2 linked regions of the Astyanax mexicanus genome follow. The protein of the gene in region 1 purifies or fractionates together with the protein of each later gene. This does not show direct contact. Links are inferred from orthologs where the notes say so. Each region holds a gene or a part of one and is shown on either strand. Other genes may lie near its edges.

What was found. The genes of interacting proteins can lie anywhere in the genome.
Region 2: the proteins of cdk16 (region 1) and ccnyl1 purify together in Homo sapiens (affinity purification with mass spectrometry; 4 studies listed by BioGRID and IntAct, counting the BioPlex papers as one, with this or other methods). This does not show direct contact. The link is inferred for Astyanax mexicanus from reciprocal best matches to the Homo sapiens genes CDK16 and CCNYL1.

The regions. Positions count from the first base shown.
Region 1 is NC_064419.1:4,685,181-4,692,909, reverse strand, and holds the start of cdk16 (cyclin-dependent kinase 16), read left to right. Parts: upstream 1-4,373; 5' UTR 4,374-4,809; intron 4,810-7,729. UniProt on the Homo sapiens protein: Protein kinase that plays a role in vesicle-mediated transport processes and exocytosis. Regulates GH1 release by brain neurons. Phosphorylates NSF, and thereby regulates NSF oligomerization. Required for normal spermatogenesis.
Region 2 is NC_064418.1:11,190,513-11,198,718, forward strand, and holds the start of ccnyl1 (cyclin-Y-like protein 1), read right to left. Parts: upstream 3,571-8,206; 5' UTR 2,478-3,570; coding exon 2,324-2,477; intron 1-2,323. UniProt on the Homo sapiens protein: Key regulator of Wnt signaling implicated in various biological processes including male fertility, embryonic neurogenesis and cortex development. Activates the cyclin-dependent kinase CDK16, and promotes sperm maturation.

The DNA of each region.
Region 1 (7,729 bases):
ATGGTTGGAAAACTAGGATAAACTCGTATGTGGAAAAACAGCAATATTTAGCAAGGTGTGTGTGGCGTAAGGGTGTATTTATATATGGGTGTAGACAGGTGAATTCAATATTCCGGTGATTGACTTACTGGAGGTGTCATGTGCAGGGACATGTGGTCGCGTTAGAAAGTGACGTCAGTGCGTGGTGCGTTCTGGGTAACGTAGTCCAGAGGATGGAGAGCTGTGCTTCCGGCGCCAAACGCTATAGAACACCACAGAAATAAAACATGGATATAACTTACAGTAGTCAGTCTATAACATATATAGCAGTGCAGATTTACTGGCTCACCTCTGAAAAAAAATAACTTCATTCACTGCTATTAATGTCTAAATATCTGGCAACACAAGTGAATACACCTCAGACTGAACAGTGGCTCTGTGCTTTGATGGCAGTAGCCAGCCCTCGACCTCCTTACTAAACACTGCCTACAGCTGGCCCACAGTGGAAGTTCACCATTAGCATTAGCATTAATTAAGCCAAGGTCAGACGTATGGGCTTGGCCTTGCCAACAGCTAGTGTTGCATTTAATTAAGTTCAGCTGCACACAGTCCACACACTGACCAGCTTTTAACCGAGACTGGAGAACATTGCCCACATGCATGTGCATTATTTACCCCTCTTTCCCACTATTTACACTCTACAGGCATGCTATTTTTTCAATCATACTGATTTCATTGTTATATTTTATGATGCTCTTTAGGTGCTATACACCAATAAGTCATTACAATAAAAACACTGACTGATAGTTAAGATAAATAACATCTAATGATCCGGTCCCAATAGAACCTAAAAAGAAGTGAGATCTGTAAATTTTATGCAGCAAGTGAACAGTAAGTTTTTGAAGTTGATGTCCCTTATAGCAAATTTACTCTGGTCCAAATCTGGCCAAGACCACTGATAACATCTGTAACAAATCTGGCAGATAAATTAGGCCTGGCTTATTTTTGCACAGAGAGTTCAAACTTGCACAGATATGTTCTGCACATCTTATTTGATTGGGGCCAAAACTAGCACAGCTCTATACTGAATTTTATTCTATTATTTTTGCACTATAAGGATTATAAGGCACATTATGCGACAATAGTAAGGAACATGGGTGTCACCATGTTTTCCATCCAATTCAGCAGATCTTGCCGCTGGGTGGTGGTGGGGGGTAACTGTTAATTTGAGTAAGTAAAGCGCTTCTTTTTATTTACAGTAAGCTTAGATTTCCAGATTTTCACTAAGGCTGGGTGCAGCACTAGCTGTGCTTAGTGCTAGTAAATGTCGCCTGACAGCGATACGCTGAGGAACCCTATGTGTTCCGGTTAGCCAGGGTGATATTAGGTAGCATTTTTTTCCCACACAGCTTGTTTTAACATGGTAAACACGCAGACTACAGTCTGATATACTTGCCTCTGAACAGAGAAAAGGCTAGGGCTTTGCGCGGTTAGCAGCTAATGCTGCTCCAGCATTGCTAGCCAGGGTTGACAGCAGGCTACAGGCCAATAATACTCATCTTTGAACAGCGAAAGAGCTAGCGATTAGCGTGGTTAGCGGCTAATGCTAATACTGCTCCAGTCTCGGTGCTGAAAAAACTTCACTGAAACTCCTGTATAATTCTGTACTTAAGCGGAGAGGCTTTACTGCTCCTTACAACCTGATTAGTAAAATTCATACATAAGGTGTTCCAGATTATAAGGCTTACTCTTTATTTTTGGGAAAATTTGAGGGTTTTAAGTGCCCCTTACATATAAACATGCTCTAATAAAATATTAATTGATTTTAATGTCCTAATGGAAATTACTTGAATCAAAGGAAAAGCCTACAAATTACTTAAATTGTTAGATATTAAAAAAACGAATAAACATATTAATAAACTGTTTTAAACAGTAACTTACACACAGAAATCCTCTAAATAAGTGTTTGTGTGTCTGTGTTTTACTACTACCTGCTGTTGTGTGCTACAGGTAAGTTAGCTAGTTAGTTAGCATTAGCATTAGCTCAGTGTTATCTCAGACATTTAGTTAGCTAACTAACAATTGCTAAGTATAAAAAATGTAGCTTACCTGGAAAATAGTGTGAACTCCTTCCTTTTCCCCCTCAGTTTTGTCCTTCCAGCAAAATTGACGCCCAAATTATTTATGCACTGTGACTGGAACTATTTAATTAATGTATATATGATAAACATTAAACATAAATATTCTAACAACTAATGATATGTATATTTATTAACAATAAAATATATATTTTTTTTTACCTACATTGTAAATGAATATTTAAGTCATTCAGACTATACAGGAATGCATAAGGAATCATGTAGTGACTTAAAATGTTAAACAAACCAAAATACTCTGTGAAGCATTTAGGTGGTTTCTGAGGCTGGTAACTCTGACAAACTTGCTCTTTTAGTTTTATCATTACATTTTTTAAGGGTCTATGCAACTGCAGTTGAGGATTCTTTTAATGTTCTTGCCATAATATAGATTAGAACATTACTTAAATAGGTATATTCACTGTATACTAACTCTACCTCTTCTCAACTTTACAACTGATGCTCTTAAACACATTAAGAGGCAAGAAATTCAGGTAATTAACTCTTGATACAGCACAGCTGTTAACTGAAAGCCTGAATTCCAGATGACTCTACCTCATAAAACTGACTGAGAAAATCCAGCCAAGATATGCAAAGCTATCTCTATCTAAGCAAGAGGTAAAAAATATACAACATAATTTTTTTTGTTTATTTAAAATAATCCATATGCTTTTCTTCATACTTTGGATAACTTTAGATTTCAGTATCTACAATGCAGACAAATGTTAAATGACGATTAACCACAGATTTTTAAGTGCCTTCAAACTTTGGACTGGTATAGTATATTTTATTTAATATTTAGTAAATCAGAATGTTCTTTTAGCATTTTTAGCTGCTTTTATTGGAACTCTTACTTGGAACATTCTGTCTCACTCTCTCTAGAGGAGAGTCCGGATTGGTAAAAAGTGGAATATAGTGCACAAAAGATGTGCTCCAGGCCCACACTCTTGCAGAAGAGTGCTTCTAGGGGAGAGTGAAGGAGAATGAGCAAAAAAAAAAAAAAAGAAAGAGGGAGAGAGAGAGAAAGAGAGAGAGAAAGAGAGAGAGAGAGAGAGAGAGAGAGCACTAGAGCTGCTGGGGGCTCTAGTGAGTGCATGCCAGAGCTGTGAGTCACTCAGGGGCTCCACTGGCCTGGTTCTGACACCCCCACACCACTAACACACACACTAACACACACACACTCTACTTTCTCTATCTCACACACTCTCTCTTACACACCACATGGTCTGTAGGCCGGTCAAGCTTTCCAGGTTTTAGGTTTCCCCTCCTCGTCCCCATTCAAAGGCCACATGGCCACGTTGACCCTTTATAAATCAATATTTTAAAATGGATATTGATAACCAAGCATGCTTTTAGAATCACAGTAATAACACACAGTCACATAAATGCTCTCTCTCAAAATGGTATGCTCTCTCTCTCTCTCTTGCTCTCTTTCTCTCTCTTTGTCATATACAGTCTCTCTCTCTCTTACACACCACATAGTCTGTAGGCTGGTCAGGCTTTCCAGATTTTAGGTTTCCCCTCCTTATCCCTGTTCAAAGACCCCATGACCCTTTATAATTGAATATTTTAAAATATGTATTTATAACAGGTCAATCTTTCTAGGATTTAGGTTTCCCCTCCATGTCCCCATTCAAAGGATACAAAGTATGGGCTTACCTTCTATAGATCAGTATTTAAAACTGATTTAACACTAATAAACAACTAGAGCTGGATGATATGGCCAAAAATTAAACCACATTTTTTACACACATCTTTTTGAACTGCTGATGCAGCTTCGCGGAGTAGCACCACAGTGCGCTCGGAGGAAAGCGTACCAACTATCTTATACATCAGCTCACAGACGCCTTGTGCTGATCGACATCACCCTAGGAGTGATGAGGGGAAAGAGTGCCATCTACTGTACCCACCCAGAGATAGGGTTCCAGCAGCTAATGGCTAGATGCATGACTGGAATTAATCATTTCAAACTTAAATTTAAATTAAAATATCAGTAAAAAATATAAAAATAGATACAAATAAAACTTGAGGTTTCATTGATAAGAAATTAAGATCAAAAGAAGATAATAATAACAACAGCAACCTGTGTAGAACTTCCTGCAGGCCAGGCTTAACCACTATTGAGCGGAATCCCTGCGATGAGAATTCCTGGCTACAGAGGAATCTCGCTCCGGGCTGCTCCCCTGAGCATTCGGCCTGAATGGTACGGTCTGACTTGGCTGAATGGAATTTGGGTCAGTCCACTGTGCGCCACTTCCACTTTAATAGGGGGGGACGCGTTGTCTTCGCAGGCCTGTACTGTACCGCGGCGTTAAGCAACGTTTAGGTAAACACCTCAAATTAGATCTCAGGACTGTCAGCCATGTCCAGGATGTGAAACAGCGCGGCGTCGGGTCGTGTTTAGGGCTGCTTTGTGAGTGTGTCCCTCCCCACCTCTCCGGCTGGGCTGAGTGAGTGACTCCGGATCTATTCGCAGAAGCCCCGGACCGAGCGACTGCTCCGGATTTGGCCAGGCGGAGGGAGCGGGGTAACAGCTGCTGCTCTGAAGGGTTTTGGCGTGTTTGGAGAGAGAGCCTAGCTGACCATGCTGCGCGCCTGGAGGGCGCTGAGAGTCATGGCCGAGGACTACTGGGAGCACACGGCGGCTTTGGGACATTGCTAAGATTACAAGGGCACGACGGGATCTCGTCCACGGGTAAGAAAGAGCAGGGGCTCGAGGGTTTTTCACCATACGTGGTTTACTAGCTAACCTAGTGATATTAGGTCACGAGCTGGGAATACTGTTGCTTTTGCCCCAGTGCACCATAACGTTACATACGTACATACATAAATACATAAGTACATACAACTAACCTAACCTAAGATAGTTATCTAAGCTATCTATCTGCCCATGCCAGATTGCTGAGCAGCTTCAGCTCCAACACTTCAGAAACAAATCTGGTCCTGGCACAAGTCGTATAGAGCTTTAGCTAGCTATGCATGCATGCATGTAGCTGTATGTGCAAGTGTAGGATTTTTTAATGCATGCATCTACAGTATGAGGTTGGCATTGCATTGGCTAGGCAATGGTTGCTTTGTATTGGCACTGGAATGCATTGAATAGTAATTACATTGGAATTTTTTTAATTCAAAGGGTTAGTTAAAGGCTCGAGCATTTTGCACCATATGTGGTTTACAAGCAAGTAGCTACTAGTTACTTTCACCATATGTGGGTTTTAATGGGACCACCTTTGCTTTTGGCCCTAATGCACCACACCATACACACAACTAGCTTAAATGCATGCATGTCTGCATGTACAGGATGAGCTTGGCTATGCATTGACATGATAAGTAATTGAATAGCAATTGCTGTAAACATTTAATTCAATTCGATAAGGAGACAGAGATTTTTCACCATATGTGGTTTACTAGCTGTTCAGGACACAAACTGGAACCACTTTTGCTTTTGCCCACAATGCACCACACCATACATACAGACAACTACATCTAACTAACCTAACCTAGGCTAATAACTATGCCAGATTGCTGAGCAGCTTCAACACTTCAGAAACAAATCTGGATATGGCACAAGTCGTCTCGAGCTTTAGCTTGCTATGCACACATGCATGCATATAGGTTATGTATATGTGCAAGTGTAGTATTCTTAAATGCATGCATGCATGTAGCTACAGTATGAACTTGTCATTGCATTGGCTAGGCATTGGTTGCTTTTGCATTGGCATTGAAATCGAATAGAGAGAGTAGAAGGGTCAAGGATTTTTCACCATATGTGGTTTACTAGCTAGTGAGATCAGGACCCAAACTGGGACCACTTTTGCTTTTGCCCCCAATGCACCACACCATATACACAACTAGCTATGTTATCTAAGCTATCTATCTGCACGTGCCATATTGCTGAGCAGCTTCAGCTTCAACACTTCAGAAACAAATCTGGATCTGGCACGAGTTGTTTTGAGCTTTAGCTAGCTATGCATGCACTCATGTATGTATATGAGCAAGTGTAGGACTTCTACATGCATGCATTTTTGCATATACAGTATGAACTTGGCATTGCATTGCCATTGAATTGCAACTGGGGTGGAATTAAATTCAAAGCAATGCAATGTGATGCATGGTCAGAGAATGAGAGAGAAAAAGGGAGCAGAGGGCTCAAGTTTTTTTAACCATGTGTGGTTTGCTAGCTAGTGAGATTAGGGCATAAACTGGGACCACTGTTGCTTTTGTCCCAATGCACCACAACATAGACACTGCTACCTAGCTAACTACCAAAACTAAGCTATCAATCTGTCCATGCCAGATTGGTGGTGAATTGCAATGGAATTTAATTCAATGCAATGCATGGTTGCAAACAATTGAGGGTCCATGGACCAGAGAATAAGATCTGGATCTGGCACAAACAGTCTAGAGCTTTAACTTGTTATTCAAACATGTTTGCATGTATATGTTCAAGTATTGTACTCCTTAATGGATGCATGTGTGAGCTTGGCATTGCATTGGTTACTTTGCATTAGCATTAAAATGCTTTGAATAACCATTGCAATGGACTTCACTTCAGATCAGTGCAGTGTAGTGCAGTGCAATGCATGGTTGCAAATGATGCAGTGCAAAAGAGGGGATTGGGCACGGCAGAACAGGACAGATCACCGGGCTAACACTTCAGCTTGCACTAATTCCACTCAACCAGCTGGCTATAACTGGAAACTGTTAGCTAACCTAGCTCATGCAGCTCAGATTGATCAGCAGCAAGCCGCAGAGCAGAAATGCAGGAGCTGTGTGTTATTGGAGCGCGTGGCTTTGCTGTGTCCATCAGCTCTCTACAGGAAGAGGCTGTGTGCATGCATGAGGACGTACAGCAGGGATGCATTTTGCCATGCGTGCATTAAATCAGGAGTCAGATGAAGTAATTACTGGTGAGCTGCTTATACTGACACATGCAGTGAATGACAGAGCACTTGAGTGGGCTTGCCTCCCACATGCAGATTATAATGCAGCGTGTCCCCTGAGATAAGACTGGGGCTGTCAGTCAAGTGCTCCTCCACTGTACATTGTAGTATTTGTTTACTTGCTTTGACATACCTAAGCTTTATTACTAAATTGTGTAGAAATAGTTGGATACTATGCTGTCTTTTTTGATATTGAAACCTGGAGTTTTGTGATATAATATATTATAAATAATTAATATACAATATAGTACTACACTAGGTATTAAACCATATAATACAAAAATATATATTTTAATTTATATGTATTTATATTTTAGAACAAAATATAAAAACACTGGCACTTTCTTTATAATAAAAAAAAGGTTTTGACAAAAAAACTAGGCTGTCTTACACATAGCACATAGGGCAAGTCCTATGTGTAAAGATGCGCAATCTATAATATATAAAATAAATATATATACAGCTCTGGTTCTCAGTTTCTCAGATTTTGCTATTTATTAGTATATGTTTAAGTAAAATAAACATTGTTGTTTTATTCTATAAACTACGGACAACATTTCTCCCAAATTCCAAATTAAAAAAATGTAATTTAGAGCATTTATTTGCAGGATATGAGAAATGGATAAAAAACTCAAATAAGGCAAATAAAACAAGTTCATATTTATAAAGTTT
Region 2 (8,206 bases), on another chromosome or scaffold:
CATAATTTCACACCAAAGCTCCACTCTGAATGGGTTAATCTTAATCACTGCATTGTTGGAAATTTAAAAATCTGGTGAAGGTCCCCTGTAATATTTATATGCAACTATTTCAGCTGATCCTATGAGAGAAGGGAGGGCAGTAAGAGTACAGCTGTCCCACCTTCAATGGAATGCCACAAATTGTGCAGATATTTGGACGTCTCTGCTGGCCCACTGTGCATTCCCATTCCTCTTTTTGTCTGGCAAAACTCAAGGGAACAGACTGGAATGCCCTTTCCGTCTTCAAGTTGCGCTCCTGGTAGAGCAGTGTACGAAGTACACTACCACTGCTCTGTAACATATTGCAATATTGTGATCAAGGGAATGTACACTGATGTTGCAAAAAAATTGCAAGAGGAAGTATTAAAATGTCCCATGACTTTTACCATGCCCCATGGAAGCGGCCAGAGGTCCCATAAGGGACAGTGAGGACTAAGCAAGTAAGTACGAAGTTAAAGAACTGCATATGGCCTCCTGAACTGAACATAGATGTGATTTCTGCCAGAATCTCCTTTTAGGTTTGAAACTTTATTTCCCATCCATCTGGCATCCACTATCAGTGTTGAACCTCATTCACTATATAACACCTCACTACTTATACAAGTGTAGGCATTTCCTAAACAAAAACTGAAGTAAGACATTATGAATTTACATACTGTTATACTGGTAAAAAAATACCATAGCATTAAAACCCTGAACAGTGAAATCTGAAGAAAGTTTAACACAGCTTTCTGACAGTCTCAAAGGACTGTTAAAAGTTTTGCAATACATAATACTGCAACTTCCATTAATCAAGATTTTCGAAAACCCATAGTTCTTAAAGTCAATAGGACTACGCATGACCCAAAAGGTGCTTGCACAGGATGCTACCTCTGTGTAGGGCTCCCCTGGGGGTAAAGTAAACAGCAGTAAATTCTCCTAACAGCCCCAGAGGGACATACCTACCCCCCAAACGAGAGGCATGCTCTCAACTAGCAGCTTTCAGTTTTAACATCTCCAGTGCTTTTTACCGTTGGCTCCTACTTTGATCAGAGTTGTTGATCATGAAGAAGAACTCCCCTTCTGTAACTGAATAACGGCAGTGGAGCCCTCAAGAGTAACCCGAGTCGCAAGAAGAGGAGCTCAGGAAACTGGATAAGAGTGTTTGTGTGTGTTTTGGGGTGAGGGGGATGCCAAAGACATGCACCAATCCCTGATTAAATTAAGAATATGTCCAAAAGCATCTAAAGACCACTTTGAAATAGTGATCTTAGCTACAGTAAAGAATGATTCCACCACATTTTTAGGATCTCCAGATTCACCAATGAATCTACCCGTCTTGTGAGCTTTGTTTAGCTGTATAATAGGGACATATTTTAAATAGTTAAAATTTAGACATTTGAAGTTTTCCATTTGGGGCCATTTTTCACTCCACCCTTCCGCATGCATAACTTCATCACTTTAAGAACTCTTAAAACTATAAATTATTAAAACAGAGACAGCCACAGGAATCATGACCTTCATTAACAATAATCATTGCCAATATGTTTACTCTTTCCCATTCCAACCATCTACTTAATATGTTTTAGGTCAAAATATTATACAAATTTATGGTAAAACAGTGTCCAGTGCCTGACCAAAAGTTGAATGGTAAATGCAGTAAAGATATTTAATCATTAACAGACAATTTTGCCTCAGGCACCCAATACTTAAAATATACTCTTCCATGACATGCCTTAAAACTAAGTTCGAAGAACAAAGACAAAATATCTGTACAAAAAGGAATCTGGTGGGATTCTACTTTAGGATACACCCACCCACCCATTGTGGCTTGGACAACCTCCATACAAAAGGACTGCCTATTGATAAAGATACCCACCATGGGTAACTCTCTCCATTTTTAATAAGAGAGAGTTAAGGTCCATCATGCCGCAATCCAAACATCTCCCAGAAGCATATTAAGTTCATCCCAAAAACTCCTGGGAGATGTTGAAGGGGCAATTGTAAACCAAAAAGTTAATCATCCACCGTCTCACTAAGTCTCACTAAGGCTGCTCCGGCCGAATGCAATCAAATCCTCAACTTCTCCTTCCCACAGCCTTTGGCTCCAAACCTAATCCACCTCACATGAACTGAACATCATCATCACTGCCTTCAGGAGTCCTTGAATGGGAGATGATGAAACCTGCAGGGGATGGTAGGGTTGGATCTCCAGGAGAAAGGCTGAAGATCTATTGAGTGGTACAGCCTAGTGTTAGCTTACCTACAGTGTGTAGTTAGCTTGGTTATAGATGGAAACACCTACCGTCCGGCAGCTCTCTGTCACTGATGTGCTGCAGGTATGGACCCGTGTCGTCGCTCAAGTCTGTGTTTATTTGGTAGTCCTCCAAGCGATCTGCTTGGCGTGGAAGCTTTGGACTCCCACTGGGAGACACGCAGCACGATACTGTATTGCCCATGACACAGTGCTCCCAAAACAGTCCTCTGAAATGAACACCAGGAGGAGAGGAGCTGCCTCGGTTGCTTTTACTGGCGGCACATTAGACTGGAATTAAAGGGGGCAGCTTCCAGTGAATGAAACGTAGCTAGCTTAGCTTAGCTAAGCGTAGTTGGCTATTTGAAGGCAGAGGGCTAAAACACTAGCGTAGCTAGGTTAACTAGCTAGATAACATCAAGGAATAGCAAGCATTCCAGTCTATTTTAGGTGCTATGTTCATTGAACTAACGTTAGCTTAGGTCGAGGAAAACTGCCTGACTGGCTAGCTTGCTAACTAGCACCTCAGCGAACACGACTTTTAGCCACTTTTGGCCAAAACTCTGATGTTTCTATTCACTCTAAAGAGACGTTTCGTTCTGACAGGACTATAAAACACTGTCAGCACTCTAGCTAGCTAAATAACACCTCAGTTAGTTAAGATAGGTTAGCTATTTAGTTAGCCTAGCCAGTTACTTCATTAGTTAGCTAGCTGACCTAACTAGCCACATATCCACCCTCTTATTCGAGACTGTCCACCCATGTCCCAATAGCTAATATCCCACCCCGTTCCTCACGAAGCTAACGTCGCTAACAGGGCTGCTGGACGCATTATAACTACCAGCATTATTGCGCCAAAGCAGCAGAATTAAGCTAGCTAGCTCCTAAGCCAGCTAAGCCGTCCCCTCAAAGGCCTGAGCTCTCCTGAGCACTGGCGTCCTCGGCGACCCGCAGCCCGGCTTTAAAAGAAGAGTGCCGGCTCCAGCAAGGCGAGAGATGCGGACAGGCAGCTCTGAGCATCCGGGCAGCTCGAAGCCTTCGGCGGCTAGCTATCCACCAGTAGCCCGGCGCTCAGGCCGAGGCCCACCTCCAGCAGAAGCCGAGGCACGCTATTCCTTCTTCCCCTCTGAATGAATAAATCCAGGATAAAATCTCCCGGTCCTGCTTTTATCCCCAGTTAAAACCAGCTGCCGCTAGCTAAACTTCTCCTCTATCTCTCCAAGCCTAGCCCTTGTCTCCTCCTCCTCCACTACAACCGGCCACTATCGCTACTCTTCTATTCCCACGGACGCCATCAGCACCCGCCCCCTTTTTTTTTAATTCCAGAGATTTCTATTGGTCGTGAAATCATAACAAAGGCTCAAGAGCTCAAGCCTATTGGCTGAGAGCGCTGCCACTCAATATGTTGGAGCTATCCCTCCTATTTAACACAGCTGGTATTTTCCTGTCTATTTTTACAGCTAGAGCTTTTATTAGGACAAGCACTTTAGTATTAGTAACTGCTAAAATTACTTACTACGATTCACATACGTATTTGTATATATATTTGCATTATTGTTATTATTACGAATAAAAAAAAAACATTAATTATTATATTATGTTTTTTTTATGAATGAGTAAATACCGATTTAAACCAGTTAAACGTCTATGTCTTTCCAAGACTGACTTATTTCACTATACTATCTCTGACCGTCTATTCCATATCCAGCCTATGGTCTATTCCCACGGACTCCACCAGTATCCTCCCCTTTTTCAATTTCTCAGATAATTATTGGTTGTGAACTCATGCGCAAGGCTACTGGCTGAGAGCGCTGCCACTCAATATGTTGCGTGACCCAGTCTATGGTCAATTCCCACGGATGCCATCAGTACCCGCCCCATTTTCATTTCCTGAGAATACTATTGGCTGTGTAGTTATAACAAAAAAACCTATTGGTTGAGAGTGCTGCCACTAAATGTGTTGGAGTCATCCCGCCTGTTTCACAAATAGCTATCATCTTGCCTATTTTTATATCTATAGCTTTTATAAGAACTAGCACTTTAGTATCAGTTGTATTATTTGTATTATTGCTAAGAATAAAAACATTGTGGATGTATGGATAAATGAAAATGAAATTAAAAAGTGATTAAGCTCGGAAAATATTATTACTGTGTAGTCTGAAATCTTAAATATGATGATTTGTCGAAAGATTGAAACATCCTAAATAATGTTTTTAAGTGCTGATGTTATACAGTATACACTTATGGGACACATTGTTTTCGTAGTGAACAAAAAAGTGAATAATTATCCATGTGTACCTGTATAGCTTTCATATAATCTTCAACATTAAATTTACAATGTAAAAAAGCTTTTAAAAAGTGTATAAAAAGAGGTGTGTCCAAACTTTGGACTGGTACTGTGAAGCTGCTAATAAAATACTGTAATATAAAATACTGTATGCTACACTGCATGCAAACATAGATGGTAAGTACAACACATATAATTATACTCTTATGTGGCACACTTAGAAAATAAAACAGGGCTTCCAGCCTGTAACTGGCAGCAGAGACTTGAACCTGACCTCTTTAATAAGATGATTTGAAGAGGCCTGGAGTGGCTTGGGTGCACAGAACTGAATTAAAGTTCTATTTGTGTCCTGGATTCATGAGAACAGTGTGAAATATCATCTGGGATCAACTGCATCGATTCTCAGTATGGTGGACGGAGGATGCCAGTTCCTCTCCCGCCTCCTCAGCATGTCTGTTCATGCTGATTAATGAAGGCCACTGTCTCCCAGATCTGATTCTACACAGCCGATAAAACACTGATTAAATATTTAAATTGCGATGGGGAAAGAAATTACTATGTGGCCTGGCTGTGAAATCCAGCTCGTGGATCAGCTTCTTCTGGCAGCTGGATACAGACTGTTGGCCAGACTAGTTTATGGGTTCACTTAAGTTTGATATACTTGATGGTATCCCAGCTAAAGTTATAAGAACATTTCACAATGTTTTACAAAGGTTCCAGGAAGGCTAGCCTGTAATGTCACAGAAATTATGTTTCAGTAATAATAATGTAAACCATGATACTGTTTTGCATCACAACGTTATTATAACATTTCTCACATAACGTTTCCAGCTAGAATAATTCTAATGTTATGGAAACTTTAAAATTAACGTCACAAAACTAAAGGTGAAAACACTGACACAAGTTATGTTGCATCAACATTTCCAGAATGTTTAAAATCATTAAATAAAGACACCCAGAAAACTTGCTCATTGAACATTGAACGCTCTAAGAACGTTCAGTTCTACTAATCAAAAATTGCTATCTTACACCCCACTAATACTCCATTTTCATGTCTTCTGTTGATGGCCATGGTGGTCGGGAAGTGAGGTGTGTTCAGGTATATTTCTGGCGTGTTGCTATCTTGGCAGCAAAAAACACAGGTGCACCACTGGCTGAAAGCAACTTAGACAGACATCAACAGACAGATGTTCATTACTATCTTGGCAACACGCAGCAGTGCACAAACCCAACTTTTACATCAACAATAACCAGAATACATAGTGTGCACGGGCACATCAGTGTCCCAGTGTGACCCAGTGTTACACACTACTGAGGGTAAAAAGAAATTTATCTTAGGAAGTCTTTAAATAGCTGGAGATGCTGGATTTTTATAAGCTATAAACCACACTGATGTAAAGTTATATAATAAAGTCTTGCAATATGTCACTTGTAATATCTTGTGTAATTAATATAAATCTTGAGAGTTTAGTTTTTCTAATTATATTATGAATACAAAGATTATATTATAAAAAATATGTTCTATTTTTTTTTCATGATATTTGAAGATACACTGCAAATTTTTGGTTAGATTAAATAAGAACTAACCAGCTGTTTGTCGTTACTGTCTTTATTTAGAAATGACTCAGCATGTATAACTCAGACCTCCTTAGCCACCCCTTCCCCTGTAACTCAGTAAGTCAGAATAAGCTTGAGTTTATAGAGAGGCCTAACACAGAACTACCTCCAGTGAGACCTTTCCCATTCCAAGCTCTCTTCAGCTTTATCTGCAAAACGGAACAAATCCTCTCACAGAGGGAACGGATCCCAGTCACAGGTTCCAGAGAGGAATGTTCACCTGTCAGAAAATAATTGGTTTTACAGGAAAGTCCAGGCCCAAGGTGTTCTGTGTCAAATTGCATATTCTTGGAGGGCACTCAAATCTGTACTGGAAAAAGCCTGCTGCTCAGAGATTACTTATCCAATTTGTCGCATTCTGGTCCGGTGGTACAACACCACTGGCAGGCTGGATTGTACCCTACTGATAATTCTACAGTCTGAGTTAAAGGATAACTTTATACTATTGCGGAGACTTGCTTCTGGCCTTATGCTTCAGTTTCATGATTAACATTAACTGTACAATATAAACAACCTTAAAAACAGTGTTAATCGTAACAGAAGGAAAGACTACCTGAATACAGACACAGAGGGTGGGTATTAATTGCTAAAATGTTACAAATTACACTCATTGACAAAATATAATACACAAAGTAGGAGTTGTTGGAAGGGAATAAGGCTCCATGTGTGAATGTAATGATGATATATGTACTATTCAATATTATGTTCAATATTATAGTAAAAGGATTTTACTAGTTTACTGTGGAAAACAGTAGCTAAAAATGAAATGAGGTTCTTTCTCCCTGCTAAAAAAAAGAAATCTAGCTTAAGACCAGCTATTTATCCAGAAAAAAAAAACATACCCTATACTGGTGAAGAGCTTGTTAATGAGCTAGCCAACCAGCACAGGCTTTTTTTTTTCAGAAGACAAGCTGGTCTTGAGCTAGATTTTTTTTAGCAGGGAGAAAGAACCTCCTTTTAACTGTGTTTGATTTTTTTTAGCATGGCTAGTACCTTGTTAGACACCTCTAACATGGATATATTTGGTACATTTGCCCACAGATGTTGCATATATAGTGAGCAATGCATCATGAAATCATCTTGTGAGATGCCCTGTGATTCCAACCTTGAGTTGCTTTCTGCTTAAAACAATGCTGAATTACTGTACACCACCAAGAGAGAGATTTAAATGGTACAGGAGTGAATTGTGGGGCTTGACACACATAGAAAACAGACATTTTTTCAGTACAGAAAATGACTGATATGAAAATCTGTGACTTGAAATATGACACATACAACTAAACGCTGGTTTCAACACACGTCTTTTTTATGAAATAGCTGCCAAAAATGCAACAGTCATGGTAGACTAACAACATATATTTGTACCCTCTATTTACGCGTTGATGCATCAAATACAAAGACACTGAATCCATATCCATTGTGACACAATGCAAAAATAACCATAGAGATATCAAAGTTAAAAATGATATACAAAAAAAACAAGTTTAAACATGCCATATTTGCGAAGAGAGATATTAATACTTGTTATAGAGGATGATACTCATTTCAGTTCTGTATGATGAAGCAAAAAGTGGAGTTAAAAAGCCACAAGTAATCCAACAGATTTAACAAATTGTATAAAAACAAACAAACAGAAGAATTCAAGTCCAAGAAACGTAAAAATCTTGACCATGTTTAACCATTTCAGATTAAATAGCTAATTAATCTCCAAACTGAGCCTCACCACAAAGGTTTGGTTGTGCAAAGATAGGAATCACTGTGGTGGGCCTGCGAGAGCAGCCTGAGCCAGGTTTACAGCCTTGATTTCAGCAATAATGAGTTCCACAAACTCAACGTCTGGATCCCCTGCACCTTGTGAATTGCTCATCTTGTAGAAAATGTGCAGAAACTAGATACTTAACGGAAGTGCATTAAATCGCACAATCCTGCTGTACTGTGGTGGTTAAAACACTCAGTACTGTGCTGGCAACAGAATCATCTAATTTAAATAACCGTGTAATAAATAACTACAAATTATGGTCGTTTTGAGA